3 linked regions of the Xenopus tropicalis genome follow. The protein of the gene in region 3 interacts with the protein of the main gene of each other region in a pairwise test. Links are inferred from orthologs where the notes say so. Each region holds a gene or a part of one and is shown on either strand. Other genes may lie near its edges.

Region 1 (11,037 bases), on a different chromosome or scaffold from region 3:
GGCATGCTGGGTAATATAGCCAAGAGAAAGCCAAGGGTGGGAATGGCACAGTTACACTATGACAGTGAGGCATGCTGGGTAATAGAGCCAAGAGAAAGCCAAGGGTGGGAATGGCACAGTTACACTATGACAGTGAGGCATGCTGGGTAATAGAGCCAAGAGAAAGCCAAGGATGGGAATGGCACAGTTACACTATGACAGTGAGGCATGCTGGGTAATATAGCCAAGAGAAAGCCAAGGATGGGAATGGCACAGTTACACTATGACAGTGAGGCATGCTGGGTAATATAGCCAAGAGAAAGCCAAGGGTGGGAATGGCACAGTTACACTATGACAGTGAGGCATGCTGGGTAATATAGCCAAGAGAAAGCCAAGGATGGGAATGGCACAATATGACAGTGTTACCAGCACATTGGTGCCCTCCTGCAGGAAATGAGGGACTATAGCTTTAAGCATTTGGATGTGATTGTGTTTCCTGTTAGTGGTTTGGGGACAGTAGGGCACAGGGGTGTGGTACAAAGTTGGTGATTTGCAGACTCCTGGTACCGACAGGAAGTTGATATATTTATCATTTCGTTCTGGAAGTTTCCATAAAGGGGAAGTATTTACCCGGAGACAATAAATGCAGGGCTGCACCTGTTCAGCTCCCACCTGTGGGCTAGAATGATGGACCAATAGCAACGCCTTACAAGGATGACGTTTGTTTTGTAGGCAGCGTTGCACTCCTGGCAAGTTGGTTCTGTCCCCGCCCACTAGAAATTTGGCTACACGCCGGCACATTGAGCCAAAGAGCAGTTCCACTAGCAGGTTGCCAGTAAGTCTCCAGTTGGCACTAGGGTGCCACCTCCCTCCTTTAATACCGGCCACATATTGAACCCATGGCTAGTTAGCAGTTAATTTAGATGCAATCTCCATGGCTGTACAGGCATCTAAATTACTTGCTAAATAACCATGCAGAATGTGGATTCAATATGTGCCTGGTATTAAAGGGGTGAGGTCAGGGTTGGACTGGGCCGCCGGGACATGGGGAAAAAACCCGGTGGGCCCCTGCGACCCAGACCCGACCCATGATGTGTTAAACTTACGCGCGCTCAGGGGAGGACGTCGGGGGAGGGGGTGTGGGGGACGCGCCCGGCGGGGGCACCTGGGGCGGAAGCCTAGGTGGGCCCTGCACCCCCTAGTCCAACCCTGAGTGAGGTGGCAACCTTAGCTAGGGCAATTACATGTACACATTTGCTGACCCTGTTCTTGCTCCCCACCAATTGGAAGTTTTCACTCCTGCCATCGCCAGCTTCCCAAACCTACCCCCGTGGGGGTAGCCAGCTTCCCCTCTCGCCCCCCCCCCCCCCCCCCCAGTATTGCTAGCTGCTATTATGTATAGTGTTTATGCTGTCATTAAAGGTCACCACTGGGGCCTGTTTGTTATTAGACACACCTCTAGGTCATGTGCTCCCTAATATTATTAGGTATAGGTCACCTTTAGAGTAACTTTTAGTATTTAGTTTTTAGTTATAGAATGGTTGGTCCTTAGCAACGGTTTAATTGGTCTTCATTTATCTTCAGCTTTCAAATGGGGGTCACTGACCCCGGCACTGACTCTGACCCGAGCAAAACCTCTGCTCTGTGAGGCTACAATCGTATTGTTTATGTTCCTTTGTATTCCTTATCTTTCTTTTCAGGCTTTTCCTATTCATATTCCAGTCTCTCTTTCATACCGCTGCATGGTTGGTAGGATAGTTTGGACCCTAGCAACCAGATAGTTGCTGATATTCTAAACTGGAGAGCTGATCAAAAACCACAAATAATTAAAAAAAATGAAGGGCAATTGCAGATTGTCTCGAAATAGTACTCTACTCTACAGGGGTACTCTACTCTATATCAGGGGTCTCCAAACTTTTTTTACCTGTGAGTCACAACTTGGGGAGCAACACAAGCATGAAAAATGACCTTGGGTGCCAAATAAGGGCTGACTGGTTATTTGGTAGCCCCTGTGTGGACCAATTAGGCTCGAAACGTTGCTGCTGCCCGTATTGTGACAATATTCAGCTTTCAAAAGGGGGTCACTGACCCCGAAGCCAAAAATCTATTGCTCTTTGAGGCTACAATTTTATTGTTATTACTTTTTTTACTACTTATCTTTCTGTTCAGGCCCTCTCTTATTCCAGTTTCTCATTTACACTGCTGCCTGGTTGCTAGGGTAATTTGGACCCTAGCAACCACATAGCTGCTAAAATTCCATACTGAAGAGTTGATGAACAAAAAGCGAAATAATTGAAAAACCACACATAATTAAAAAAACAAAGGTGCTCTCAATAGCATACTAAAAGTTAATTTAAAGTTGAACAACTCCTTTTATTTTTCCCAGGCAAGCCATGTTGTTTATTCCAGTTAATGAGAAGCATATACTACTTAGGATTCGGTTGGGCCTGGACCGTGGATTTGGCCGAATCCGAACCCTGACGAAAAAGGCCGAATACCGAACCAAATCCTGGATTCGGTGCATCCCTAATCTGTATAAAGATTTCAAGTTGTTGTTGACATGATTATCATGTGGGCCATTGACGTCAGAGGATCCAAGATGGCAGCTATAAGTTGCTGTTAAGGAATACTTTTACTGCAAAACAAACCTAGCGTTTAGCAAGGGAGCACTAATATTGGACAAGGTGAGGGTTTTTGGATAGGGAGGCGCTCTTTTACTGTTCCTATCCAACTGACCAATTGAACTGAGCAGAGAAGCACCAGTAGATTCCTCCTGTATCATTAACTTAAGCTTTTGCCATTCTGTCTAGCTGTCTGGCTGAACAAAGCAGCAAGACGCGCTCCTGAATAAATGTATTAGTAGGCAGTTTAAAACTGCTAATGTCATTAAAACTTAAAAGAAAAACAAAAAAAGAACTTTTGTCTTTTTGCATTTCAGAATATGGTGTCAAGCTTTCGGGTCTCAGAGCTTCAAGTGCTTTTGGGCTTCGCCGGGCGAAACAAAAGCGGGCGCAAGCACGACCTTCTTATGCGGGCCCTCCATTTATTAAAGAATGGCTGCAGCCCTGCTGTCCAAATTAAAATCAAGGAACTCTACCGACGACGCTTTCCGAGGACCCTCGACGGAGTGACGGGATTAGCGCCCATCAGGTCCAATGTTTTCAATCTGGACAGCAGTGCCCCGGTGGATCCGGACTTGGCAGTTAGTGGGATGCACTCCCTGCCTTCCACCTCCGTTTCACCTTGTTCCCCCGCATCCCCTCTGGGGTCTGTACTGCTGCAGGACACCAAAGCTCCATTTGAGATTCAGCAGCTGTCCCCCTCGATTCCTCCTGTGCACCCAGATGTCCACCTTAAGAGTCTTCCGTTCTACGATGTGCTCGATGTTCTGATTAAACCCACAAGCTTAGGTAAGATCCGAAGTGTATAAGCTTTGTGCAGTGATTAATGGATTTGTTCCCCTCTCAGGAGGGGTGACCAGCAGTGTTCTAAAAATATTCACCTGTAATTGCTAACATGCCAACGTAAGTACCCACTGCCAGTCACTATCTGTTCTAGTACAAGTGTGCTGCTCTACCCCGGCAGTTCTATCTATTGTGTGACAGATAAAGCCCTTGCGTTATTGTCTTTCCAGGGTACTTTCTATGGGAGCACTATGCTGCCAAGTTGACCCAGTCTCCCAGGGAATTTTTTTGCAATGTAATAGGCTGGTACAAAGAATCCCAAGGTAAAACTGAATCAATTTTATTTATCGGGAGGGTGCTTCCTAATTAATATGACTTTCCTTGTCCTAAAGGGGTAGTTAGACTTTCTCCATTGTCAGCTTGGGGGACATGGGGAACGAGGAATAGCATGGTGTAGCTTGTACCACTAGGAGGCAGGACACAACAATAAAACAAGAACTAGCTCCTGCTCCTCTATACCCCCCCCCCCCCCCAGCAAGCCCAGTTTGTTTTTTTGTTGTCTACTGGATTTTATTATTTTCTCTTTATACAGTCAGTTTATTCTGACACCAGGAGATGCAAAAGACTCCTACACAGAGTAGGGTGTCAACCTCAGGCATCTCCCATCATGGGATTGTCTCAGGTTTCTTCTGCTGAGTTTTATCCTTCACTTCTGGGGGGGGGTTGTTAGTGACCCCTATAAACACTACAGTGGCTACAGCACACTTAACTCCTATTGGCTGTGTCTCCTGTCAATCTGACACTGCTTCCTGTGTCTGTGACAGACTGCTGCAGATATATGTTAGATTAGTGATATGCTCGGTCTGTGTGCCTATGCCATTGCTAGGGAGAAATTAACCAATGACCTGTCAATTTATGCAACTGGTTAGAGCGCACAAGCAACCAATAAATTGGTCCAATAGGAAACAAGTAAGGGCAAAGCCTGGCAGTGATAATGGAACTGAAACTGGAACTGGAAGTTCTCAGTGTGTCAGGTTAAAAAGAGGCCACTCCCATCCCTTAAAAAACAGATCAGAGAGACAGAAGGACTGATTTAACAGGAATAAAAAGTAGCTTTTACAGTGGCTTTTACTTTTTTATGAAAAATAGATTTTCTAACACGCTGAGAGCATTGTTGGTGGTTTAAAATGAATTGGACATTGAAGGTGAACAACCCCTTTAAACTTTCCCCTATTGGAATTATTTTGCTCTTAAACCTCATACTGCCACCATTCAAGGTGAATAGTGGCAGTATGAGGTGGCAGGGGAATGCTTGGTTCCCCATAGGGAAATCCCACCACCCTCTGTCCCATTTTAGCCTATCACTGAATGGGCATCCCAGCTGGCCATGGGGATACCAAAATTTGCTTACTCACTAGCTTTTGACCTTGCTCAACAATCCAAAAGCCAAACGCAGAGCTACTTCCCTTTCCAAGGATAAAAACAAAGGACATTCCAGAAATCCTTCTCCCCTAGGAATCTAGCCTCTCACAGTTCAGATCATTGGATGATCATATTCTCATAGTGTCTGTTCTGGAAACACTTCAGAGGTCCCTTCGGGCTCTTCCAAGACTCCAAGGCTCTTCACAACAAGTCCTCACCTTTGTTCCCTTTTCACGCCCAGCTTGACCAGATTAATCAACAGGAATGGGACAAACAAGACGTTTTGAAGATAGTCACAGCTTCTTAAGATTGTATTCATTCTCACCAGAACTCACCGAGAAATGGTCTTCACCATCTTCAGTGGGTGCTGCTGTATTTCTGCTTTCTAAGAACACCAGATGCCTTATCCTTCAATGACTCTATGCACAAGATGCTGGAAGGCTTACTGCGTTTCTTGTTCATGGCCTCAGGCATTTCTCTTTGCCCTGTTGTGGCTACAGCCTGGGTTAGCAGGCAACACATTAGGCACATTGTTGCGAGTGATAGTAGTAGTCCTGTGGCCAGACACTTTACACATTGTTGCGGATCTGATGTATCGCTTTTACAGATTCAAGTAATTGATAGGATTTTTCCAGATGAAAGACGTACAGACATGTATGAGAGGCTTCTGCGTTCTGAGGTCAAATGGATATTTATTCTCGATACACAGCATCCCAGTGGCCTCAATTCCATTTTTCTAGCCTCATGAATACTATCTGTTCTGTATTCTCTCATTTTAAGTGGATTACTAATTTATTATCAATCACTATTTATTACAAATTATTATCTTTTTATTTATTATGGCTCAATATGTATCATATGAAAAATGTGTGAAAGTGATCGTTATATGAAGTCTTGCTGATTGTACATATTATGTTGTTGAAGGTCTTTTTCCATCATTGTTCCAATCATGAGGGTGGGTGCGTGTCTGTTTTACTTTGTATGTCAATCAATGTGAAACACTATTTAAACCTTCCTATCATTATGTGTTTATGCCTATGATTAAGTGCGCACGTGCACGAAACGCGTTAGACGCTTTGTTTTTAAATGGACTAATAAAGACCTGCTTTTAGTGAGACTTCTCTGTCCGGAGCGCTTGGTGAAATTATTGTGAGCTAAATGTGAATATAAGGACAGATCTTTTGCCCACTCTTGGACTTCAAAGAACTCAAATAATTCATCTGACCACGGAGGTTTCACTCGACATAAAGTGTCATACCTTCATGTTCTTATTTTTCCTCCCCATCAGAGGTACTTGCGTTTTGCCTTCCAAAACCACCACTACCAGTTTATAGCCCTTTCGTTTGTGACCTCAGCTCCTCATGTGTTTACCAAGACTATGGCAGTGGCCACAGTGGTGATGCAGAGCACGGGGATATCCATAACCCCTCATTTGGACAACTTACAAATCAAGTCACCTTGCCTCTCAGAGACCCAGCATTCACTCCTCTCTACCATGAACACACTGCAGGAACTTGGTTGGTGCTTCAATACTTGACAAATTCTCCTTGATTCCCACTCAGTCCTTAATGTTCCTAGGGATGCAGTTTAATACACGGGCCAAGAGGTTATCCGTACCACAAGAAAGATTCTCCACCACCTGTCACTGGTAAAGACCAGCCTGACGAAATCAGCACACTCAGCCAGGTTCTGCATGAAAGTCCTAGGGAACTTCAAAGGAACATTCTCTTGGCCTGGACAGGCCCTATCCCAGGAAATTTGACTGTCCCGTTAACAGGAGCATCTCTCTCCTGGTGGCTCCAAACCAATCACCTCTCCACAGGCCGACCCTTCGGGGACCCCCTGTGGTGACTTCTGACAGTGGATGCTAGCCTTTTTGGTTGTGGAGTGGTCCTGGAGGGCCATTCAGCACAAGGCCAGTGGACAGATGCTTTCACAGCCTTCTGGAACTTTCTCCTTGCCTATGCCTTCTCTCCACTTCATCTCCTTACCAGGACAGTCAAGAAGTTCTGACGGGAACTGGCCAATCTCATTCTCATAGCCTCTTAGCACCTGGTTCTTGGATCTTCTAAACCAATCCTTGGCCTCTTCCTCTCCTACCAGATCTTCTCTCCCAAGGTCCGATAAAGCACCCCAATCCAGCCAGCCTCAGTTTAATGGCGTGGCTCTTGAAACCAGGATCCTAAGGCCACAAGGGGTTCTCTGATGCTGCACCTTTCAAACACAAAACTTCGGTTTCACTTCAGTGGCTCGCTTGGAAGATCTTCTTCCTGGCAGTATTACCAAAACCATGTCAGCATTCAACCGACATGGTTCTGGTAATTCTTGATAGTCTTATATATCTGTTGTATTAAAGTTGAAGTATGTTGTTTTACACTCTTGTTTGTTTTTTTTTTTTTAAGAGCCTAGAATTTTAATGAAATAGTTCGTTTCTATGGATGCACTGAATCCCATAATTGGTTCAGTATTTAAGCAAATTCAGTTTCAGGGATTTGGCTGCATACCGAAATCAAGGGTTTCTAACCCTGATTTTTCACAGTCCCATGAATTTCAGTGCATTTACCATGTGCCATGGCCAGGGCCACCATCAGTGGGGTACAGGGACACTCTAATCAGGGGCACCAAGAGAGGAAGGTGGAAAATCGTGATTTGCAAAGGGGGGCAGGGCTTGCAAGGAGAGGGTGGCGTTAATGGGTGGGGGGGTTATCATAATGGGGTGGATGAGGAGCATTACCATGTATGCATGGGCATTTCTTTTCCACTGGGGCCCTGTTCTACTTGTTGGCACGGCTCACAACCCAGCGGACCAGGTGACTGGTGAGCTAATAATTGATTACCCATGGAAGGAAGGGTCCTGCTTACTTGTATTGGATTAGGGAACCCACAGTTACTGATGGCTACAGATAAAATTTGTCCCTAGTAGAATTCCATCAGGAAGGCTAAGGAGAAGAATGGTAGGGACTGAGTTAAAATAGGCATTTATTGAGAGTTAGTGTGGATCTAGCAGTCTAATTTTTCTAAAGTTTTGAGCTCCAGAGCCACAAACACAAGCGCCTAAAATATGTTATTGCCTATGCCTCGTAGACAGACTGCAGTTATTTTCTTTTAGCGAGATGTTTTCCTTTTTTTTTTTAAAGGATATTTTAGAAAACATTTGTATTTAGCATTTTGCAATATGTTCGTGCTCACAATTGCTCTTGACTGATTCTCTTCAGTGCAGAACACTCTTCAAAGATTTCAAGAGAAATTTTTCATCTTCGCATTGACCCCTCAACAGGTGCGAGAAGTTGTCATCTCCAGGTAAGTTATTGCCATGCTGCTTATTGGAATCTATTGGGGTCTGTCACTCCTCTCCCCCCACATTGTCTGTCGCTACCAGCTCATCATTATCCTTTATTAAAGGAGAAGGAAAGGCTAATAAAAAGTTAATCTCAAGCTGCAGGCATACCTTCAGTTGTCTCAGTAGTGTCCTTAAGTCTCCCCATATTTCTCCCGTTCAGAGCCAAACAGGAAGAAAAACGCTGAACTGTATAAAGAAAGTTCCCATAATGCCGCACTCCTGCACCGAGACCAAGTGAACATGCTCAGTTAGTAAGACTATGTGGAAGCTTCCTGCTGATTTGCTCAGATCCACATTTCTAAGGGGGGAGTGAGTTCTTAGCATTCTTGAGGGATGGGGGAGCAGGAGAGGAGAGAAAGCAGAGAGCTGCGTGTCTGTGACACATGAATTACAGACACAACAAATCTTTTGACAGAGAAGTCAGTGCAGCGTTTCTGTGAGTGCTTATGGCTGTATTTACACAGACCTTTCTGATAAAGCTTACTGAGTTTTTACCTTTCTTTCTCCTTTAAAGGTGGCCATACACAATAAGATCCATTTGTTTGGCGAGGTCGCCATGCGAGCGGATCTTCTCACGATATCCCCACCTACAGGTGGCCAATATCGGGCTAATTCAGGGCCAAACCATCGGATTAGAACGGTGGGTGTAGGGCCGTCGGTTCAGGGATTGCATCAACAAGCTGATGTGGTCCCCGATCCGACAGAAAAATCAAACCTGCCCAATCCAGATCTGGCTGATTTCAGGCCAGATTTTGGTCGGGTAGGCCCGTTGTTCATGCCCAAACACGGGCAGATAAGCTGCTGAATCAGTCTAAAGGACCAATATTGGCAGTTGGATTCGGCCCATGTATGTATGGCCACCTTTAGATAGCAATATTTTAGAAAGATTTCCATTTATTTCATATTTGTCATTACCCTATTTCTCTCAAGACCCTGTTTGTTTCTTCCAATAGAGATTACATGCCAGGTGGCAGAAGAGATTACTCAGTCCAGGTCCAGCTAAGGTAATGTTCACGCCGCTATACCACATTTGCCTTATTAGAGTCATCTGCAGTTCTTTATGCCCGCCTACAGAGCCATTTGTTTCTATTTTAAATAGGTTATGTTTAGCAGAGACTAGCTGTCCTCAAGAGGATAACTATCCGAGCAGCCTGTGCATTAAAGTTAATGGGAAGCTGTTTCCTTTGCCGGTGAGTTAATAGACTGAACCGCAAGTACAACTGTTTTTTCCCTGTAGGCTTTATATATACCGATACAAAATTAAGGAACCTAAGAATAATAAAAGTAAGGTGCTAATTGTAGTATTCACAAACCAGTGTGTGTGTGTAAATGCCCATCTAGAATATATAATAAATACATATAAATATATATATATAAATATTTATATATATGATGTGTATAGTAGGGAGTGAAAGTTTTTGGGCTTCTGGTGCTCTGGACACATGGACGTCATGTACAATGCCAAGATGCAGCAGATATGAAGGCTAATTTCACCTTAAAGGAAAACTATACCCCAAACAATGTAGGCCTCTCTAAAAATATATTGCATAAACAGCTCATATGTAAAACCCTGCTTCATCTAAATAAACCATTTTAATAAAAATATACTTTTTTAGTAGTATGTGCCATTGGGTAATCCTAAATTGAAAACTGCCATTTTAAGTACTAAGGGCCGCCCCCTGGGATCATAGGAGTCACAGTGCACACAAACAAGCCAAGGCACACATACATGCTAGGCCCAATCAGCCAATGAATGGGCAGAGTTCTGCCTTTTGCTCCCACACTACTTCCTGTTACAGTTAGAGCTGCATCACTTCCTGTCAGCTGATCTCTGAGGGAGCACACAGCCCATCACTAAATGGCAGCTCAAGGGAAAGGATGAAAAAGGGCAATAGTTACTGATATATATTCCTATTTGGTCACGTAACATAATATAAACTATCTGTTGGTTAAGTATTCATTCTGGGTATAGTTTTCCTTAAACCCAAGAAATTGATGGAGTGGTTTGTGGAACAAAAACCCCAGGAAGTGGGGATAGGTTCTATATGCGCCCCATCATGAAGCTGCCCATTTAATTTGTATAGGATCTCAGTTAGGAATGGGTGAAGACTTCAGTTTGTCCAGGCTTTAGGAAGAGATTTGAATTGTCTGTGATACGTGATGGGGCAAGCTGCAAGAAATGGCTACAAACTCGTTTTTGAGCTGAAAAGCATCAGCACTCAGAACTGCCGTGTATATTCCATTGCAATGAACAGTAAGTTTTTAACTATTTTTTCAATTCCTATTTTCCAGGGATGTGCTGTGCCACCGAAAAATGGCGTTGAGCAGAAACGACCCGGTCGCCCCCTCAACATTACCTCACTAGTTCGGCTGTCATCTGCTGTTCCAAACCAGGTTTCCATTTCGTGGGCTTCTGAAATCGGGAAGGTGGGTGAGTTCTTAGCACCGCCTCTACCCGATTTTGTTGTGAAATAATAACACTAGCTGCTGGTAGCTATCCTCCATTCCAGCTGTAGAAGCTGTACAGGCAGGGGCTTATTCTGCCTGGAGAATTTCTTTATTGTGATTATTATGTACTGTATGTAACATTACAGAAGTTGCAATATTGTAAAGGAGATCAGTGTTAAATATCCTAAAATATACACTTCTAAAAGCTGAAGCACAGAAATGAAAGAACGTGCAATTTAATGTTCTACTTCTTTAAAAGACATGCCACTCCTGTTAGGGTCTTCCCAAAGGCAGGGGCTTAACTGTGGGAGATAGCTCTCAGTACAAGTTGATCCAGGGACTGGTCCGATTGCCATCTTGGAGTCAGGAAGGAATTTTTTCCCTCTGAGGCAAATTAGAGAGGCTTCAGATGGGGTTTTTTGCCTTCCTCTGGATCAACTAGAA
Region 2 (11,137 bases), on a different chromosome or scaffold from region 3:
CTTCGCGCCATTGCGCGCTGACGTCATAACGTCAGCACGAATGCGCCTATAAAACACTGCGGTGCGCGCGCGGCGCGCACTAGGAAGTAGCCGGCACCAGGGAAGGGCAGCGCGGCGGGCGACCCCGTCGCGCCGGTAAGCCTGTTTTTATTACACACTTTCATTTTTTGGTGTTACTGTTCCTTTAAAATGCTAACCATCTGTTGTGCTGACTACTTGCTATCCCATCCGTGTGTATAAGAAATGTTGCACCCAATTGAGTTGGACCCATCAGCGCCCACTACCCACTATTAGAAACAACTACCACTTTTATTTAATAAAGCTATTCATTTCCATTAAGAGGAACAGGTTTTCTAAGGTTTCACCATTATGATGATCACTCAGGGTCCACTAATGACATAGTGGACACTGAGGAGCATGGTTAACATAGTAAAAAAAACAATACTCAGTGGGTGTAGATGGATCAGTTTGCCAGATGACTGATTGGTTGTTCTCAGGAAATGAAGGGCATATGGTAGTTAGCCTATTTTTCCAGTACATGGAGTTAATACTGACTCTTTATTCAAGCAATTTAATTAAAAACAGGAAAGTTACTTTACTAAGCATTACAATGATCCAATAATACAATTCACATCTGGTGTATTTACTTGTGATTCCCCTGTTATAACAGCATCCTTATATTTGCAGAATAATCTCATTCCAGTTCTCATTACATTAAATAACTCTTGTCATCTGACTTGAGTACAGTTTCTAATAAGAGCCATTTGCATGGCTGCTTTTTTTCTAGCATTTATATAACTGTTTTTTTGTGTTTTCAGTTTTTATATTTGTCATTCAATAATGCAGTACTTTAAATGGAATGACCTTTTTACTGAGATGATAGGGATTTATAAATCAACTAAAATTCTACAGTAGCAACATAAGGCACATACAATATAGGTATTCATGGACAGATATTGCCTTATTTGAAATTCAAAAATCATTTTTTTAAAGGGACATATAGCCTAAATAAGAACTTAATGCTCTTAGGTGCATATTTGCAATTTGCATTCATTGATTTTTAGATTTCATACCAGAAATAGTGATGAGTAAAATTTTTCACCAGTTTGCTGCAAAAAAAACCCCATAGCCTTCAATGGCTGTAAAAAAAAATTGTTGCCCATTGACTTCAATGCATTTTGCTATTTTTTTTTTTTTTTTGCGAAGCAAAATGAGACAGAATGTCTTAAACTGCTAATATTGTGGAAAGTAACTTATGTTCCCTCTGCTGCTAAGCCAAGGTAAGGGCTGGGTAGAACGACAAATGTTTAATTTTGTAAAGCATTTTGAGATGCTTATTTGATCAGTTCTATCGCATTGTATTCTGAGCAATGTTACTTTAAGTTCTAATTTAGGCTATATGTCCTGTTTTAATGGTGCAGTCCATTGTAACATTACAGAGGTTGATTTATGCTCCTAAAACCACAAGAGTTCCTCCACTGGAATACCTTGGCTTGCTACTGATTGATCCTTCTCCCCCCAACAAAAAAATAAAAAGCTCAGCAGGTTTAAGGTGCCGAGTTTATTTATTTTTTTAAAAGCTGCTCAGGGAAAAGAAAATACGATCGGCAGCAAGCCAAGGTATTCGGATGCAGAAACCACCCATGAGTTTTAGGAACCAAATAATAAATCAGCCCCTAAATGTTTGCATGTAGATTATTGATATTCTGAGACACTTTGTAATGGTTTTAATTTAACATTTTTGGGGTTTGTAATTGATTTAATGTTTTGCATTTAACTTATTACTTGTGATTTATTTAATGTTTTGCACCAGACCTTACATTTATGGAAATTAACCTCTTACCTGCCATGTATTGTCAGTTCTGAAGCACTGCCTCTAAGAGGCCAAAATGCTGATACTGTACAATTTATAGTCCCTCTTTGAACTATCATGCTTCGTGTCTACTGGCAACGCTTCCCCTTGTAAGCAAGGAGAGGCATCGCAAAGCAAAACCTTTATGGCTGAATAAAAGAGTTAAGGTCGAGGTTGGTAATAAAAAACGTGCTTTTAAAGCATTCAAGTTAGCTGGGACAGCGGAAACTTTCATCAGGTACAAGGAAGCAAATAAAGCATGCAAAACAGCTATCAAGCAAGCTAAAATAGAGATGGAAAGGGATATTGCAGCAAGGAGTAAAAAGAATCCAAAATTATTTTTTAATTATGTGAATAGTAAAAAAATGAAGCAAGAAGGGGTGGGAACTTTATTATCACGGGGGGGTACATTGGTTGATGAGAACGGGGAAAAAGCAGAAATTTTGAACTCTTATTTTTCATCTGTCTATACATCTGAGGAGCCAGATAATGAAGGCTTCCCTTTTAATTTACCCAGTGCTAGTAATTTAGCTACTGACGCGTGGGTCACTCAGGAGGAAATTCAAAAGAGACTTGAACATGTAAAGGTAAACAAAGGTCCAGGACCGGATGGGATTGAGCGCTGTGATTGCCAAGCCTCTTCACATAATTTTTCAGGATTCGTTGAGGTTTGGCATGGTGCCGAGAGACTGGCGGATTGCTAATGTGGTGCCATTATTTAAAAAGGGATCTCGTTCTCAGCCTGAAAACTATAGGCCTGTTAGTCTGACATCAGTAGTAGGAAAGCTTCTGGAAGGGGTAATAAGGGATAGGATAGTTGAATACATTGCAGTTCACAATACTATTAGTTTGTGCCAGCATGGTTTTATGCGTAACAGATCTTGCCAGACTAATTTAGTTGCCTTTTATGAGGAGGTGAGCAGGAACCTTGATGCTGGAATGGCAGTTGATGTCATCTACTTAGATTTTGCTAAAGCGTTTGATACAGTACCTCACAGAAGGTTAATGATCAAATTGAGGAATATTGGCCTAGAACATAATATTTGTAATTGGATAGAAAACTGGCTGAAGGATAGAGTACAAAGAGTGGTGGTAAATGGAACATTTTCTAATTGGGCCAGTGTGGTTAGTGGAGTACCGCAGGGGTCAGTCCTTGGTCCTTTGCTTTTTAACTTGTTTATTAATGACCTGGAGGTGGGCATAGACAGTACTGTTTCTATTTTTGCTGATGACACTAAATTGTGCAAAACTATAAGTTCCATGCAGGATGCTGCCGCTTTGCAGAGCGATTTGACAAAATTGGAAAACTGGGCAGCAAACTGGAAAATGAGGTTCAATGTTGACAAGTGCAAAGTTATGCACTTTGGTAGGAATAATATAAACGCAAACTATCTACTGAATGGTAGTGTGTTGGGGGTTTCCTTAATGGAGAAGGATCTAGGGGTTTTTGTAGATCACAAGTTGTCCAATTCCAGGCAGTGTCATTCTGTGGCTACTACAGCAAATAAAGTGCTGTCTTGTATTTTTGCCGCTTTATAGGTCCCTGGTAAGGCCTCACCTTGAGTATGCAGTGCAGTTTTGGGCTCCAGTCCTTAAGAAGGATATTAATGAGCTGGAGAGAGTGCAGAGACGTGCAACTAAACTGGTTAAGGGGATGGAAGATTTAAGCTATGAGGTTAGACTGTCGAGGTTGGGGTTGTTTTCTCTGGAAAAGAGGCGCTTGCGAGGGGACATGATTACTCTGTACAAGTACATTAGAGGGGATTATAGGCAGATGGGGGATGTTCTTTTTTTCCCATAAAAACAATCAGCGCACCAGAGGTCACCCCTATAGATTAGAGGAACGGAGCTTCCATTTGAAGCAGCGTAGGGGGTTTTTCACGGTGAGGGCAGTGAGGCTGTGGAATGCCCTTCCTAGTGATGTGGTAATGGCAGACTCTGTTAATGCCTTTAAGAGGGGCCTGGATGAGTTTTTGAACAAGCAGAATATCCAAGGCTATTGTGATACTAATATCTACAGTTAGTATTACTGGTTGTATATATATAGTTTATGTATGTGAGTGTATAGATTGGTTAGTATAGGTTGTGTGCTGGGTTTACTCGGATGGGTTGAACTTGATGGACAATGGTCTTTTTTCAACCCTATGTAACTATGTAACTAACTATGTAACTATGTGAGAAGATCAACAGAGATGTTGAATGGTATCAGGGTTACCAACAAGAATCATGGGCCCTATAGGCCTACCTGGCCAGGCCCCTGATCAGCCCACTTCAGCTCATTGCACCTTTTCAGTGGCATTTCCCCCCAATGATGGCCTGGATATTGCTCAGTGCTCTTACTGTACTTACTATAATGCGTTGGTGATTCTATTATCTGTTGCTATTGAAGTATATAGTATAAGGGTTCCCATTACCCTTTATTATTGTATAATGTGTTGGGAAGCCATTAACAATTGATATTACTGGTGGTGATGTCAGGACCCATTGTTTTGCTCATGTAATTTGTAGGGGGTACCAGTACTACCTGTTCTTACTGAACAATGTGCTTTTATTATGACATAGACATTGATATTCTGAGACAATTTGCAATTGGTTTTAATTTTTTATATTTTTTTTGTTGTTAGCAGCTCTCCAGTGTGGTATTTTAGCAGATATCTGGTTACTAAAGTTGTGTGTAACCCTTTCTTGGCACACTCACTTATTTTGGGCTGTATTACTTGCTTAGTGCAGGAGATTTGGTTCCCTAATGCAGATAAAAGGTACTGGGACTGGTATTTTAGCGCAGTGCCTCCACCTAGTGGACACTGAGGAGCACACCTCAAGGGGATTTCCACTAGGAAATAATCACACACAGTTTGCAGCAAATATCAACTTTATATAACGGAGTGAAAATAAAATAGCATTAACATGCAAACAATAATAACCCTGCTTTGGAAACCTGTGGTATTTTAACCATGACTGGCTCAGTCTCTCTGGGACACAGTTCCACACTCCACTCCTGGAGGAAATACCCTTTCCCAGTTCAGTGCTGGCAAAGTCCCTTCCCCAGAGCTCTTTCGGTTTCCCCAGGCAGCGCTACCTGCCCCAAAGTACCTCTCCCTTTGGAATAGGCAGTTGCTCCCAAGTAGCAGGCCACGAAAAACACCTGTCCTCACCCAGGGGACACACACAGACTTTCAATATCTTCCCTCAGATAGATCACTCACTGGGGATCCCAGGTCGTAAAGGCATCCAACCGCTGTGTAGCAGATCTCACTTTACAGGCTGGCACTCAGCAGCAATTCCCTTTAGCGTCACAGTCACTGTTTACTGGATCTCTCTGTCTTAACTCTGGCAAACCAACAGGGGCTCCCTATATAAGCTGCTGGGCCCGCCACTGATTTTTGGCTCCAAACCTAGACACGCCTTTCTCTCCCAACAGTGCACTGGGGCATCCAGCCAATCGGGTTGCTCCCCAGTCTGTAGCCGGGTGGGATGATATCACAGACTGAGAAACACGGGAAAGAGTTCTCTGATCCCCTACATGTCTTTAGCTTATAAACCAGGCAATGGGTTAAATGGGAGACTGGAATATGAATGAGGGTGTTGAATAAAAAGTAACAATAATAATAACACTGTAAGCTCACAGAGCAATAGTTTTTGGGCTGCCAGGGACAGTGACTCCCATTTGAAAGCAGAAAAGATGTAGCAAAGGAAGGCAAATTGCAGAGTTGCTAGGAATAGGCCAATAGGTAAATAACCCTGTTAAGGTGGGTGTGACTTTAAAATATGGGAGTGGCCTTAAAAGTAACTACTACCACAAATTTATAAGGAAAGGCTGGTACTGTTTTCCAAAAAAAGGTGCCCACCATAACCATTACCAGACTGGCTGTGGTACAGAGCCCCATGGTTTGTTACAGTGGGCAACACAAGAGATGCCCAGACTTTATACTCACATAAAAACATTTTGGCAACCATAAGGCCTATTTTTGGGGCACTAGCACTGAGAAGCTTTATCTTTATTGCATTACACCACTAATGACCTATTTTCCATGCCGTTTGCTTTTAAAACAAATGGGGGAAAAACAAAATATTACTCAAACACAACTATTAGTTACACTATTATTATTATTATTATAACTATTATTATTACACTGCTGACCCTGAATATCACGTTATTACACATGGAACTGTCTTTGAAGGGTCCCGGCCATATCTAATAAAAGAAACAACTGAGAAGCAAATGCCCTGCCCATGCCGCATTCTCACTGTTTAACCTACATTACTATGAGAATGACCGGGACTGAGTGCAATGACTTGCCCTAAAGCTGCGATAGGGGGCGCGGCTGTTCACTCATGTGATTTCCGGTCTGTCAGTATGCCCTTCAGGTTGTAGCTATGGCGGCTTCCGGAGGCAGCGGAGAGAAAGCTACAGAGTTGCTGAGATGTTTGCCGCGGGTTACTCTTGCCAACCTGAGACCGAATCCCGGTGCCAGACACAAGGTGAGACTTACCGCTCAGATACTGTTTCCCCTAGCCGCACTTCTTTCTGTAATATCTGCGCACACATGCTTCCGAGATGCGCTCCATGCCAGGCACAGGCGGCTAATGTGATCCCTTGCGGGGTTTGCTCTGATAGGCATGCTGCTATCGCTTGTTAGGCACAACAAGATACAGTGCAGAGCAGTCTCGGTGTACAGCTATGCAGAACCTCTTAACTAGATGTATTGTATGCAGTGTGCAGCCTGCTTAAGGAACAGTAGTTCTCGCACCAGTAGTTTGGCTGTCTGCATGGCAAGGTCAGTTGTGCTTTATATAAAATATACAATACTTCAGCTGCCAACACTGATCAAATCAGCCACCGGTCATTCTAGCAGAACTGGCCTGGACTTGGGTATTTCGCATTCTCTTTAGAAAAGTGATTGAGAGTCAGTGCAGGTAATAATTCTTAATAAGCTTTTTAGCTCACAAATTAACAGAAACCATTGATGTTTATTGATTTAAAACAACAGGCAATAAGTATGTTAAGCACAATCCCTATTTATGGAAGTCAAGTTGAGCAAAGGATTATACTGCTCCTTTAAAAATTAGTAAATATAGCTGTCTAGTAAATTGGCCTTATGTGTATAATTAGTTAAAATAATGCATTCCATTCATGTATTTCATTTTCTGCTTCAACCCTCTTTGGAAGCTTTTCACTATGGTACATTATATAATAACTGGTATATCTGTATGTAATAAATAGGAAAAAATTTACCCAGATTCAGTAAAACATTAAAATCAAACATCTTATTGGTTTATAACAGATGAGCACCAGCAAATGCTGCCTACTGATTGGTTGCTGTAGGGGACTAGACCTGCTGCAAACTTTCACCTTTTATTATGTAACCCCTGTAGAAGTTTATAGGTAGATCGCCAGAAGCCTCCAGGGCTTTTATAGTTACCTACAGGTCCTGGTTGCAGTTAAATGTTAAAACAGACTGTGAAAGTGTGTGTACTCCCTGATTGCATTTTGTAACAGAATCCCTTTATCAGAAAGAAATTATCTCCTTGTTAATTATTCTTTTTTAACTTTTAGGAAAAAAGACGAGGTCGGGGTATCCATGGTGGTAGAAAAAGTGGCAGAGGGCACAAAGGAGAGACCCAGAGAGGAAATCAACCACGTTTAGGCTTTGAAGGTGGCCAAACGCCATTTTATTTAGTTATTCCTAAATATGGCTACAATGAAGGACATAGGTAGGTAGCTGATATGTTATCACAATATAAGTTTAACTGACTGCATAATTTAATTTTCATATATACCACTTGCCCCTTATAGGCATATCTACACAAGCTACACTGTTGATATGTACCGTACTTTACTAAAGTATTGTACAGTCCTCCAGCTCTTACTGAGCTATATCACCCACTATATCCTCTCCCAATAGTTAAGTATTTAGGGCTGTTGATAGAAGTTGTAGAGCAATGGCAGCAGACTAGCTGGAAATGTGAAGAATAATTTGAGATCTCTCCATGTGCACAGTGTGATGGATTAGTTTGCTTTTACTAATATTAGTATAGGAATGTGGAACAAGTTAAACAAAGGCCTCACATTATAGTGGTGTGAAGCAATAGTTTAAATCTTTTCCTAGCCAAACAAGCTGTTCTAGAAAAGGCTTAAAGGAAAGGTAAGAAGAGGTAAAAATCATGGGGGCGCCAAGTTGTTAGGAACCCCCCAGGATTCTAGTTGCTTTTCTGCTAGCAGCATAAAAATGCACCAGCTGGGTGCAGTTTGCTGAGTGCTGCTTTGCCATCTGTCTTTAAAGAAGTAAACCTTTTTTTTGTGTGCCCATACATAACTACCCGACTCACTGTGCATTCCCAGAAAGCTTCTTATCTGTCAGGCCCTCCACCACATAGGCCAGAAAATTCCAGCCCTTTGTACCACAGAAGTTTGGCAGCACTGGTGTTGGGGATACCTGGGAGAACAAAAACGATGGTGGCACATCACCAGTCTACTGCCAAACCAACCTTTCTAGTTACACATAAGAAGGGATCTATTATACAGAGGTGTCATTCTGAAAAGTAGTCAATGGGAAAGAAGGAGGGGGGGGTCTAATTATCAAAGATTATTATTACTCTTTGTATAAAAAAGGATACAAAAAAATCAGCTATTGGTTCTTTATAATGAAAAAATAAAGAAAATATACATTTTTTTTTTTTTAGGTGCAACACATGAATACACCACATTTATTTATCTTGTGGTGAATATTGGTATTTCCTCCAGAATATTGGTACTGTATTATTTTTAGTCAAAAAACCTGTGTGAATAAGGCATGTGATACAGGTTAAATAATAAACAGTGACAGCACTGTAGCACGAGAATCTGTATAAATTAACACATGGATCATAAAAAAGGTTGCCGGAATGTAGAAAGTTGTGCTGCTTGAAGATTGGTAGAGGTCACTGACAATACAGCTAGCAAGGGGCAGCTGATGAAATAATTCTTCCACTGGGACAGAATGCTATAATGTGATTATGTAAGATTCATTTTTTATATATAAAATATATATGCATTAATTTGAGCTTTGACATGGATCCAGGATAATGTAATGAACTTATATAACGTATTTATATTAAAGCAGTGTAACTTATTATTCTTTAGCTTTCGGCGACAATACCAGCCTCTTAGTCTCCGTCGTCTCCAGTACCTCATTGATCTGGGTCGAATAGACCCGGCACAACCCATTGACTTAACACAGCTTGTCAATGCCAGGGGAGTTACAATACAGCCACTCAAAAGGGATTACGGTGTACAACTTGTTGAAGAGGTAAAGTTTATCTGTTTTATCTCTGTATTTTCACTATCACTGTTCCCCTAATTCACTGAATAACTAAGTGTCCAGGTTTCTACTCACACAGACTTAATATACTTTGTATTTTCCTTATGTTGTGACATATAAAGACATAACTTGTCCTGAACATAATCTAAAAATGTCTATTGTTTAAAATAGCAACTGCTGTGTTAATTTAACTGAATCATTCTACAACCACGAGTTTTTTAAATATAGCTTAAAGGACAAGGAAAGGCAAAGTCACTTGGGGGTGCCAAAATGTTAGGCACCCCCAAGTGACTTAAATCGCTTACCTTGTACCCGGGGCTGGTGCCCCTGTACAGAGAGCACAGCACCAGCCCGGGGTAGCTGCAGCGCTTCCTCCTTCCTGTTCGCATGCGCGTGCATGTGCGGTAGAGGGAAAAGCCGAACTTTAACAGAGAAGTCGGCTTTTCACTCTACTGCGCATGCGCCGGTCCCGGGGTCCTGGCAGAACGAAGCAGGAAGAAGGAAGCACTCACTACAGGTACCCCTGGTGCTGTTTTCTCCTAACAGGGTCACCAGCCTGGGGTACAAGGTAGGTGATTAAAGTCACTTGGGGGGGGGCTAAAATTTTGGCATCCCCAAGTGACTTAGCCTTTCCTTGTCCTTTAAGATCACAGCAGGCATGTCTGTGACAGAAAGAAAACAGATTCCTTCTGCTCAGACATTAGTTTGCACAGACAGACAGACAGACATGGCATTTGGGTTGTTTTTGGGCAGATTTTGATGCCAAAATGCATACTTGTTGTTGCTTTTTTGCTGAAGTCTGCCTTGTCTGTGCACTAACAGGTTGATACTGTGCCTTTCAGGGCAGAAGGAAGCAGATCAGTGTCTTCTCCTCCAGCCAAGATATGCCCTTGGCCTGAAGCTCTTGGTTAAAAGTATAAATACACCTAGATTGTTTGAATACAGAAAGAGTCACCACCGTTAGAGAAGATTAATTGCGGGGTGACTAATCTCTTAGTGTGTCATCAGCCTAATCGTGTCTAGCTGGAATAGCAGAGACACAGTTACTCCAATCAAAGCCTCCTGCAGGCTAGCAGTTCACATGGGGCTACCAAATAGCCAATCACAGTCCTTATTTGGCCTCCCCAAAGAACACTAGAGTCTGCTTATATGTAGACTGTAGATTTATTTTTGTGGTATTTAAATATTCTGTACAGTGTACTGACATAGGTTAGTATGCACAGCATGCTTTATTTGTGTTTATTCACATGACTTGGAGCTGCTGTAGTTTTACTTGGCTACGGTACACATGAAGATTAATCTCCTTAAAATGATTTTCCACCTGGGAAAATGTAAATCACCACTGGGAGAACATACATTAACATGCTGCTTCTGCAGCATTGCCTCACAAGTCAGAATGTTTGGGGTCCTTGGTCAGCTGATATCTAATATTGCCATGCAAATCCTTCTTTTAAGTCTAGGTAATGGAATCCCATTCATTTGCACTGTAATTGCATGGATTACCCAAGCTCATCAATCATATTATTTTGATGCTTTTATAGGGTTCTGACATATTTTCAGCTAAAATTAACATTGAAGTGCAGTGGGCCTCACAGCTGGCCATCGCAGCAGTAGAGAAAAATGGTGGTGTGATAACAACTGGTTTCTATGATCCACGCAGTCTGGGTGAGTGTGTGAAATATTTTTATTCTTTCAATTGCATGAAATGTATTAACCATGGCTGAGCATTTAGTGCACCCTAAAGTATATTCCTAGTAAGTGCAAGCATATAAGCACTGAGAATTGACAAATGTTACTTCCCACTGATTAAAATGAGAAGTTGATGAATTTTTGCCACAGAATACACCCATCTGTATTTTCTAACATTGTCAGCTACATGTGATATTTCCTACTGTAGTCAATGGAAGGTGACCTTCTGATTTCCAGTGTTTAAATGCTGCCATTTTCCCAGTAAAGGCAGTGTTAGTTAAAAGCCCCATGCGCC
Region 3 (11,137 bases):
TGGTAAAGAACACCATAACATAATGTACAGTATTTCTAGTCTATTCTTGGTTAAGCTTTAGTTCTCCTTTAAAGCCTATTCCATTTATATTCATCTATATGGTAACAGTTGCTAGTCACTGAATGTTGTTTAATGGACCCATAATGATGATACTGGATACTGAAATGCCTAGCAAAATATCTGATTATCTATATCACATGTGACTTTGTTTAAGATACTATAAACAGAATGGTATGTGAAGCCAGTTGTTACCTAGGGCTGACCTCCAGAGTGACATCCACCAGGTCATCTAGCTGGGCCACATGCTCTGCTGTGTCGGCTTTCCCATGAGCTTTTATGGCCCCAAGAATTTTTTTCAGGCAGGCTTTGGATGCTTTCATGAGGCCAAGGCAGGGAGCCATGAGCCTACGATCTTCCTCTGACCAATATGTGTCCTGATTTCCACGTGCACCAACCTCATCATCCTCTGGGATATCGCTGAATGGATCCTCCCCATCTGCTTGAGCCTGAGTAGGCACACAGGGAATGTGGGATAAGAAAGAGGATAGAGACATAATTAAAATATGTAAGATTACCAAAAATCACAAGGATTTAGAGATTTTCCTGAACTAAAGTCTATTACTACAATCAACCATCACTGAATTTATACCATTACACAAGGCTGCTATATGTGCCATAATATTACCAAGTAGGAAAAATGCTTGCAGAAGAGGGGACTGTATTACCTGTTCCACTTCCTCTATGGCATCCTTAACAACATCTAGGTACCCTGATACTGTCACCTGCACTGCAGCAAGGTTATCTGTAAAACAGAAAGGAGCACATTAACAAGAGCTTTTGCTCCTTTCAGTGAATAAAAGTTGTGAAGAATTGGTGTACTATGAGGTGCTTAAGCGCCTGAGTTTTTGTACTGACTGTAGTTGGTAAAAGGGGAAGCTTTTGCCAGATCTACCCTGCAGTCACCTCTAAGCTGGTTAACTGTTGTGCCACCTGAAGGCAACATGCTCTCACTGCATGCTTACAAACACCTAGCAGTGAAAAAATTAGGGGACACAGTGCCAATTGGCTTTAAACCTTTTACAGCATGACAATGTAGGACATGACAAAGTAGTCCATTAAAGTTCTAGTCCCTTACAATGAGGCCCAATACAATATTGCTGATTATCAGTGCATATCATGGCACTTAGAATCGCTGTGCTGTACTCTTGCTCATGAGGTGGATCAACAGTCCTCGATTAATAGACACTGAAAGAATACAGATGGAAAGGTGAAAAGATATTTCTATATATGATGGCAAACCTTTAGGAAGTTTTTCCCACTGGTCACATGCCTCCCATACACTGCCTGTGGATACCAGCTGTGCCTGTGACAGACTGAGAGGATATCAGGAGTCAGAAAGAGAAGAGACAGTGAATAGAAACAAATGTAAAATAAAATACAAATGTATGGGTATGGGAAGCATTATGAATACAAAATTAAAATAGTGGTACCTCTGAATACGGGAGCTTAGGATGACTTCTGCAAGTTGGATGGTACCCTCTATAATGTCTGCCACGGCCTCTCGCACTGTTTTACGCAAGGTGATACCTAGACAAGAGTAAAGATTTAGGGTTCAATGATGGACCATTTGCTCTGTGGGCAGTGTGGTTAGGGAATGCCCTTTGTGAGTAATGTGATCGCAGATTCTGGGATACTACAATCTACAATTAGTTTTGATGTTGGTATATATATATATATATATCCTGATGACGATCCTGTGGTGATCGAAACGTGTATATGGTATGCTGAAATAAATCACTGACCTGATTGATGCTGTAGCTGTGAGTGCTTTCTACTGTTGAGTTTGATATATATATATATATATACACACACACAAAGTGCAGAATGGAGAGCACACCAAACAAGTTTTTTACAATACCTGGGTGCCAGAGCAGCAGTAGTAGAATAGCAATAGAAAGTGTCAGCACTCTTCAGGATTTCCACAATCGTTTTTTAAGGACAGCAATGGGTTTATGTGTATGTATGCACATCATTATTTATAAAGCACTACTTATGTACGCAGTGCTGTACAGCAGAATAGATTAATACAGGGGGTTATTAAAATAATAGAATCAAAGAGACAAGAGGATGGAGGTCCCTGCCCCGTAGAGCTTACAAACTAAATGTGTGCTGGGGTTTGCTTTGAAGGGTTAAATTGATGGACTTTGGTCTTTTTTCAACCCAACTGAACTATGAAAAACTCCATACAAATTACCAAAGAATGGCTGATAAACCTTGAATATACGGACTGCTGAGAAATCACACCGTACCAGATACTAGTCCAGGACACTGCTTCTCACCTTGTTCCTTTGGGAGAGAATAGTACACAGTGGCATCTGCTAAGATAGCATTGAGAAGTCCATCACATAGCTTCTGGCTGCCCTGGGGTAAGGGAAATAGGGTGAAATAAGTTATGTGTTATCCTGAATAAAGATTTCACATAGACCGTTTGTCTGTATGGGATATCACTTACCTCTTCTGAAGGCAGAGGTGGTTTCAAAAAAGCCAAACTCAGCTTTGTCGCTTCTTGAGATGTTGCTTTAATTGAATGTCCTATGAAAAATATAGGAAATAACTGTAAGAGACACAAATAATATGTATATAGCAATTTCCTCACTTCTATACTTTGGGGGACTCAAAGATCTTGAAGAATAAGAGTATAAGAATATTAAAAAAATAAGTGGTGCTTTTTTTAAGCACTTTTGCAATTTACATTAATTATTTCTTTCTTTCAGTTTCAGAAGTTTTTATTACCTACCAATATAATGAATTTTGTAACAGCAGCACCACCTGCTGGTCAGTTCCTGTAACTGTAAGTCAAGGAGATTTTCCTGTACAGTTACAGGAACTTTTTGCATTTTTTTTTTTTTAAGGCTCACAAACCCTTAAAGAGGATTTCCAACAAGTTCGCCTTCCCAGGTGCATGCCAGGAGATCAAGGGGACATTTAATTCATCTTTTTTGACCAGAATGACCCCGCCACCCACCCGACCCCTTCCCCCAAGCACGTGTAAATTAAACTTACTTTCAGTGCAATAAGTAATGACCTTGTCATTTGCATTATCTGCAGCGATTCCCTAAGCACTGGAAAATATATCATAATGTGTATTTTTTTTTTGTGTAAGACACTTGTGGAATGTGTCAGTGTTTACAGGGAATAAATGTTGAACAGATGTTCTGGAGATGATACAGAACCACACCTCGCAGCCTACTGCTGATAGCAGAAGGCTCCTACAGACAGTCAATGACAGAGGCAGTAGATATATAATTCTGCTGCCTTTCTAGAGTGCAGTGCCCTCTGTACACAAAAGAAAAAGCATTTACTCTCTCTATAAACTTAAACTAAAGCAGAAGGCGCATCCCTGTGTCACACTGTACAAAGCTACTTCAACCAATCATGTACAGGCACTACATAACAAATGGAAAATTCCTAGCAGACAATTTCTGTTTTTTATTCCATCATAACGTTACAAGCCTTGTGTCAGTTACTTACCCAGTGTTCCCCAGAAATGCTGTGCATTGAATTTCTCACTCTCTCTGGGTTCTCCATCTACAGAAACAAGGCAAGAGCACTCAGTCTCACTCTTAGGGGCACATTTACTAATCCACGAACGTCCGAAAAGCGTCCGAATGCGTTTGTTTCGTAATGATCGGTATTTTGCGACTTTTTTGAGCGCTCAATACGAAGTCGTAATGGCTATGAAAAAGTCGCGACAATTCACGAAAGTCGTAATGGCTATGAAAAAGTCGCAACAATTCACAAAAGTCATAATGGCTATGAAAAAGTCGCGATAATTCAAAAAAGTCATAATGGCTATGAAAAAGTTGCGACAATTCACGAAAGTCATAATGGCTATGAAAAAGTCGCGACAATTCACGAAAGTCATAATGGCTATGAAAAAGGCGCAATAATTCACAAAAGTCATAATGGCTATGAAAAAGTCGCGACAATTCACGAAAGTCATAATGGCTATGAAAAAGTCGCGATAATTCACAAAAGTCGTAACGGCTACGAAAAAGTCGCAAAAAATACGAAAAAGTCGCAAAAAATATGAAAAAGCCGCAAAATGTTTGTTTTCCAATCCAAATTTTTCGGATACGTGGATTAGTAAATCAGCCCCTTAGTCTGGACCTGAGATCTATCCTTATATTCACCATAGGCTCATACATCATATATTCCCAACAAAACAGACATATTCATTAAAGAGAATCTAAATTCAATATCTAACTGCCCCCATGAAATTCTGGCTGTCCCTTAAGGGATTATTATTATTATAATATCATAATTAGCCTCTTTTATAATTAAACCAGGATTTTGCATAAGCTTGAATAGAGTTTTGGTATTTTTACCCGGTCAGATCAGATGGATCGAGTTCATTTACAGCCCTTGCCATACATACAACATAGGTCATGAAATGAATTCCTGAAGAAAAATGACCAATTCAACCCCTCCAACTTTACTATTTGGACAGTGTGTTTCTAACGTCCCTATATGTTGTTAGACTACAATTCTCAGAATATAATTAAGGGTTAATACACTCTATAAGCGTTAATCCCTTTTAATTCAGATATATAGTGCTACCAATGCCGCCTCCAGCATATATACATCGGAACAATATGCCAAGGTGAAAATGTACTTAATATTTGGTTTCAATGTTGACATCCCTTATATATGTGAATACACTCCCTCAACTAGGGAAGCCAATCTTTCTGCTCTGCTTCATAATTGACTCCGGCTGCGCAATGTAATGCTGTCGACCTACAACTCCCACTTTCATATAACGCAGCAACAAGTAAAACCCAGCTGGTGTCACACTGTCGAGACCTTAAAAGTGTACAGGTGAGTGACTGTCTTTGTAATCACCTCGAAGCTTCCCCAGCACTACTCTTAGATTTTCCGCCAGGTTCCTGATCGACTCCATTTTCGGCGGACCCAACACCGCGAGTCTGCTGTAGCAGGACGAGACTGTGACAGCGTTGCACCAGAGCGCCACTTCCGGTAAGGAAAAGCTTGTAAACTTCCGGCACAGTTACATCGCTTTCTCTTCTCCGGTTGTATAAGCAGAAACTAAGCTCTGAAGCGAAGCGCATAATAAAAAAAACATTGAAACTAAAATGACGCATCTTTTGCTTGACTTCTAATAGATAAAACTAAGAATATGCATTTTTTCGAAGAAAAAGACGCCGAACATAGTCCCCTTTGCAGTAAAAATGAAGCTTGGTGCTAATTTTAATTGAGGTTAATAAAGTGATAAAGATAATTACCAGTCACTAGTTATTAGTGCAGACTTGGCCCTGGCAGCATGCCAACCTCGGGCCTGAGCCTTCCCACAAATCTAGGTCTTAAACTACATGATTGCCTTTTATCCTATACAAATTATGAATGTACCAGTGAATTATACTCCTCTAGATATAGAAGGATTATGCTTAAAAATGTTGTGTTTCTGACTGATTTATTGAGAAATTCCACAAAAACCCCACTGGCCCCGCCCATCTGCATACCTCCCAACATTTGAAAAACGAAAAGAGGGACAAAAAGATTTGGCGCACGCAGCGCGGCAATTTTGTGGCCACGTCCCAATTAACACACCCCATGTTTTTCTAAAAATACTCCTTTGTGCTATACCCTTATACTGTACTACCTAAGGAAAACAAAATAGCAACTCCTACATATAAAATACAAATATAGAGAGAAGGCAGTCAGTTATAAGTGAGTTATAACTATCTACCAGTTTTGCCCCCCCACACAGGGGAGACAGTACCCCCCATACACAGTGCCCCCCAGGTCCCCCATAGACAGTACCCCCCATAGAAAGTGCCCCCACTTTACCCCATAGACAGTGCCTCCAATTTCCCCCAGACAGTACCCCTCATACACAGAGCCCCCCATACACAGTACCCTTTATACACAGAGCCCCCCCATACACAGTGCCCTTCATACACAGTGCCCTTCATACACAGAGCCCCCCATACACAGTGACCCCATACACAGTACCCTTTATACACAGTGCCCTTCATACACAGAACCCCCCATACACAGTTCCCCCCATACACAGTACCCTTTATACACAGAGCCCCCCATACACAGTGCCCCCCCATACACAGTGCCCCCCATACACAGTACCCTTCATACACAAAGCCCCCCATACACAGTGCCCTTCATACACAGAGCCCCCCATACACAGAGCCCCCCATACACAGTGCCCTTCATACACAGTCGGAGCGCTCAGCTTAAGCCCTCTCATCCCGCTATCGCGGATCGCTCTATGAATGTCCCGCATTTCCGTAATCTATTACGGAATTGCGGGACATTCAGGGAACTATCCGGGACAGCGGGATGCGCTATAAAAAGCGGGACTGTCCCGCTCAAAGCGGGACAGTTGGGGGGTATGCATCTGTTCCACTTCCTGCTGGCTGAATTCTCTGGATGTGCAGGGGAGCCGGCGGCCCTCCATACACTGCGCTGTAGGATAGGAACCAATCAGCAGCTAGGCTGACCTGATAGGGAACTGAAGCCGGTCTTTGCTTGTGTGAGTGCAGGGCTATGATTGGCTATCCCCCTCCTACTGTGCTTCTGGCAGGGACCATTAGGACACGCCCACTCTTCATTTCAGACTGGAAGGAGAAGTGATAGGATCTATAGGGAGCTCCAATAAAGGGGCCATTGTTACAGATAGGGTTAATGTTTAGCCCAAAGTGAAACCAGCACCATATATTATTCATAATTGCCTACTAAATTAGCGTTTTTTCCCATTTATCCAATATGTCTCCTTTAAAGAATCTTCATTATAGTGTGGCAATAAAGAGATCTGAATATTTCTTACAGTTTACTGGGGAATTATAAAAATGAACACAAATCAAACAAATCCAAAAGTAATCAGTTTTATTTGCTCACAGAACATGTACAGTAAAATCAATAAGAAAACATTAATGGCTTTAAAAAATTTGCCTTACTTAAAGTGCCTGCCATGGACTGGCTATTGGTTAAAATCAGGTTCTGATAGAATTAACTTTGCAAGGTGCATAGACGCAAAATGCAGAGTCTGCAATATATTAATGTTCTTTATGCTATACAAATCCTAAAATCAACATACCGTAGCAACCAATAACCAACCCTTAAAAACCAACTCGGCGGTTATGATTAAATAAGTCATGGTTAGCTTGAATCACAATTTTTATTTGGTGGCTGTTACTTATTAAGGTTTTCATTCGGAAATTTAGCTTCAGCTGAAAAGCTTAAAAGATAAGGTTGTGTTCTATGAAACAGTTTATTAGATAGATGCACCCGAGACGATAGTATAAGAGACATCATTGCACTTTAGAGGAGGACTAAATCAAATATTGCTAGCAATGCTGTACTTTATATAGTGCACTTGCTGCACCAGCCCACAGCACAGATTCCACATCTCTATAACAGTAATCATCCAGGCCTTCAAAGTTGTGTACAGGAGCTCCCCATTTTGGATTCTGTTAGTTCAATGACCTGTATGGGAATCCTCTGTGATTTTACAATAGGGGGTACATTATTCACTTTATACACTCACCTAAAGGATTATTAGGAACACCATACTAATACCCTTCTCTGACCTCTAGCATCAACAAGGCATTTTCGCCCACAGGACTGCCGCATACTGGATGTTTTTCCCTTTTTACACCATTCTTTGTAAACATTAGAAATGGTTGTGCGTGAAAATCCCAGTAACTGAGCAGATTGTGAAATACTCAGACCGGCCCGTCTGGCACTAACAACCATGCCACGCTCAAAATTGCTTAAATCACCTTTCTTTCCCATTCTGACATTCAGTTTGGAGTTCAGGAGATTTTCTTGACCAGGACCACACCCCTAAATGCATTGAAGCAACTGCCATGTGATTGGTTGATTAGATAATTGCATTAATGAGAAATTGAACAGGTGTTCCTAATAAACCTTTAGGTGAGCGTATATGTGTGTCATCTATCTATATATATATATATATATATATTATATATTCTTTTTGTAAACAGGTACTTAGGGTAACTGACTTCCTTTCCCAAAAAAATCCATCATTACTGGGGAAAGAGTCTGCTCAGTTCTCTCCTCTCTCCCTCCCTTAAGAATACATAAATCTCACTCCCCCCACCCTTAGAAATGTGTGATCAGAGCTACAAAGGCTAGACTGCAAACAGCAAGCCATGAACACCAAGCTAAAATGGTAGCTGCAATCAGAGAAAGATCCCTCGGCTCTTTAATCAGGTATGATAAAGTCTTGTGCAGAATAAATATAGTGTTCTAGGTGGTACTAATATGGCAACTCTATTATCAAAATGACTTTCCTTCAAAAGGGTAAAATGTGGATAATGGATAAGGCTCAAGCTTATTGATTATTTACTGAGCAGAACCTACTTAAGGTAAGGATTACACAAACTGAGAAGGTACAAATAATGTAAGAATGTAAGAGATCCCACCAAAAAGTCCTTATTTAATCAATAATTTCATAATTTTTATTCCATACCTTTTAACGGTCCTGGTTTAGGTTGATCAGGGCGGGGGAAGTTTTTCTGGGATTGTTTTCCTCATAATCTAGCTGTTTTAACAATACACATTTTTATACTATCTAAAATGGATACTTTAACCCAAATGTAACATTTTGCATTATGAAAGCAAAGCTAATTCTAAGCAAATTTCAAACATACATTTACAGAATAGTCTCAGTGATATTAAAGTTACTTTTAAATGAACTCCTATTAAAAACACTATCTTTCCCTTGTTATTCTCTCCCCTGCTTATCCTGACTACAAGTACTATTGAAACACTGTTTAAGTAGCCTGGTCCCATGTAACCAAGACTCCAAAGTTGGAGGACAAATTACTACAGGTATGGGACTTGTTATCCAGAATGCTTGGGACCCAAGGTCTTCTGTAATTTGGATCTCCATACTACTAAAAAGACATTTAAACCCTATAGGAATAATTATACCTTAGTTGGGATCAAGTACAAGGTACTGTTTTATTATCACAGAGAAAAGGACATAATTTCTGAAAATTATAATTATTTGTTTAAAATAGAGTCTATGGGAGATGGCCTTCCTGTAATGGGATAATGAGTTTTCTAGATAACAGGTCTTGTACCTGTATTTTGATTCAATATTACCAGCCCTGCAAAGAGTAACAACTCTGATTTAAATAGGAATCACAGGTTGCCTGGTGCATTTTATTACTTATTCTAATGCAATCTATCGTTAAATCGGTTCTTTAGCTGTTCCTATCTGTTCCAAATTAATCCAAGTAACTACAAATACAGTCCAGTCAAAATATTTCAGCCAGCACAACAAGCAAAGTGCAAGCAGGGCTTAGCCCTTGCGTGTTTATTCAAAATTCAACGTTTCGGGGGCGTACCCCTTCGTCAGGCATGACGAAGGGGTACGCCCCCGAAACGTTGCATTTTGAATAAACATGCAAGGGCTAAGCCCTGCTTGCACTTTACTTGTTGTGCTGGCTGAAATATTTTGACCGGACTGTGTGGAGAGTGCCGACTCTCTAGGCTGTGCACCAAGTAGTAATTCTCTGGAGGAGGTAAGGGTGTGCTGGTGTAAATATTTTTCCTATTTTAACTACAAATACAGGCCAGTAGGAATTTATTTTTCTTAGTTACGGTATCTTATTATTCAGTAGTCTTGCATTTGGCTGTTGAACTTTCAGTTCAGTTCCAAGTTGTCCAGTTCTCTTTGCAATTCTTCGAAATTCATCATGTTATTTGCAGTATCAGACCAAGCTGCATGACGTGCTCCATCCATTTCAGGGGCCAGACGGTTTGTACGGTGAAGGTTATGCTGTGTGCCACCTATGATCTCCTTACATTCGGGACATTTAGACTGCTCCATTGCTCCTCCACATTCTGTTATGACATACACATGGTTATTGGGACATTTGAACCAGTGACCTTGCTGCAGTCCAATAGCCTTTACAATCATAATCCGCTCATCCTCGCTTATCCCAAGACCAGAGCATGGAAGGTTCTTCTCCAGCTCCTTCAGCTTACCCTTTACTAACTGCTCATCCTCCTGGGTGAACCTTTTGTTTCCTTCTAAAATTTTCCTTAAAAGCTCTATTTCATTTTGATTTTCAGGGCTAATTCTCCAGGCTGACTTGCATCTGGCAAGCAGTTCCAAGAGGAAAGTGAAACGTCTGAGTTCGTTTTGCAGGTCCAAGACCTCTTGTTTGGTGAAGGAGGATCTGGTTCTCCCCACCCAGCCCTTAATTTCTAGCAGACGATTTTTAAGTTGGGCTTTCTCTTTCTCATCTACTTTATGTATGTTAGAAAAGAGTTCTGCTAACTTTTTATAAAACCAAGAAGTGTTCTCCAGTTTGAACAGTTCCCTAAGCGATATGTCTGAGTTTTCCAAAGCCAGCTTCAGATCAAGATATTCCACAGAAAGTGTTCTCCTAAACTGAACCATCTGTTGCAAAGAATCTTTTAGTCTTTGCTGAGTTTCTGCCCTTTCATATTCTGGACCCTGTATTTTTTTCTTGACTTGCTCGATCTCATCCAGAGTTCTGTTAATAAATGTGCCATATCGCAGATTTTTTCTGATAGGGACCTGACATTTAGGGCACACCTTAAGCTTGATATTGATTCCTTCTTGGGACAAATTATTTGTTGTCATATAGTGATCCATGCCCGATCTTTCAAAGATATGACCACAGTCTTCTAGTTGTATGAAACAAGCATTAGGCTCTTCCTCAGTACCAAAGAAGATTTGTGTTATCTCTTCCGTATCGCATGCACGACATTTTGAAGGGCATGGCTCTCCACATAGTCCAATACAGGTGTGTCCACACTTTAGTTTCTTAGCACAGGCAACATCACAGGGTGGGCGATCACATGGCTCGGAGCATAGTTTTCCACACGTGTAGTGCTCACATTTCCAATCGCAGGGCTCCATGCACGGGGTGCATCTTTCTCCACATTTCTTTTTGCATTGACTGTGAATGCAACGGTTCCGACACACCCTGTTGCAGGGAGGACACTCATTTGTGCATGGCTCCTGGCATGGATGCGAGCAGATTAGAAGACGCTTGCATGGGTGACGGCAGGTAACATGGAACCGTCCCTGAGTACA

Evidence for each region.
Region 1: the proteins of ccndbp1 (region 3) and pias2 interact in binary tests that used the Homo sapiens proteins (3 or more experiments, as listed by UniProt). The two-hybrid records come from large-scale screens. The link is inferred for Xenopus tropicalis from reciprocal best matches to the Homo sapiens genes CCNDBP1 and PIAS2.
Region 2: the proteins of ccndbp1 (region 3) and mrpl15 interact in binary tests that used the Homo sapiens proteins (3 or more experiments, as listed by UniProt). The two-hybrid records come from large-scale screens. The link is inferred for Xenopus tropicalis from reciprocal best matches to the Homo sapiens genes CCNDBP1 and MRPL15.

The regions. Positions count from the first base shown.
Region 1 is NC_030677.2:206,569,042-206,580,078, forward strand, and holds part of pias2 (E3 SUMO-protein ligase PIAS2), read left to right. Parts: intron 1-2,917; coding exon 2,918-3,389; intron 3,390-8,020; coding exon 8,021-8,105; intron 8,106-9,098; coding exon 9,099-9,149; intron 9,150-9,244; coding exon 9,245-9,335; intron 9,336-10,437; coding exon 10,438-10,572; intron 10,573-11,037. UniProt on the Homo sapiens protein: Functions as an E3-type small ubiquitin-like modifier (SUMO) ligase, stabilizing the interaction between UBE2I and the substrate, and as a SUMO-tethering factor.
Region 2 is NC_030682.2:114,997,618-115,008,754, forward strand, and holds the start of mrpl15 (39S ribosomal protein L15, mitochondrial), read left to right. Parts: upstream 1-6,112; 5' UTR 6,113-6,229; coding exon 6,230-6,334; intron 6,335-7,409; coding exon 7,410-7,567; intron 7,568-8,975; coding exon 8,976-9,141; intron 9,142-10,694; coding exon 10,695-10,818; intron 10,819-11,137.
Region 3 is NC_030686.2:18,722,492-18,733,628, reverse strand, and holds the start of ccndbp1 (cyclin-D1-binding protein 1), read right to left. Parts: upstream 5,043-11,137; 5' UTR 4,961-5,042; coding exon 4,903-4,960; intron 3,589-4,902; coding exon 3,532-3,588; intron 2,593-3,531; coding exon 2,513-2,592; intron 2,422-2,512; coding exon 2,340-2,421; intron 1,588-2,339; coding exon 1,491-1,587; intron 1,374-1,490; coding exon 1,300-1,373; intron 803-1,299; coding exon 726-802; intron 507-725; coding exon 253-506; intron 1-252. Other genes in the region: znfx1 (NFX1-type zinc finger-containing protein 1), read right to left, coding at 9,713-11,137. UniProt on the Homo sapiens protein: May negatively regulate cell cycle progression. May act at least in part via inhibition of the cyclin-D1/CDK4 complex, thereby preventing phosphorylation of RB1 and blocking E2F-dependent transcription.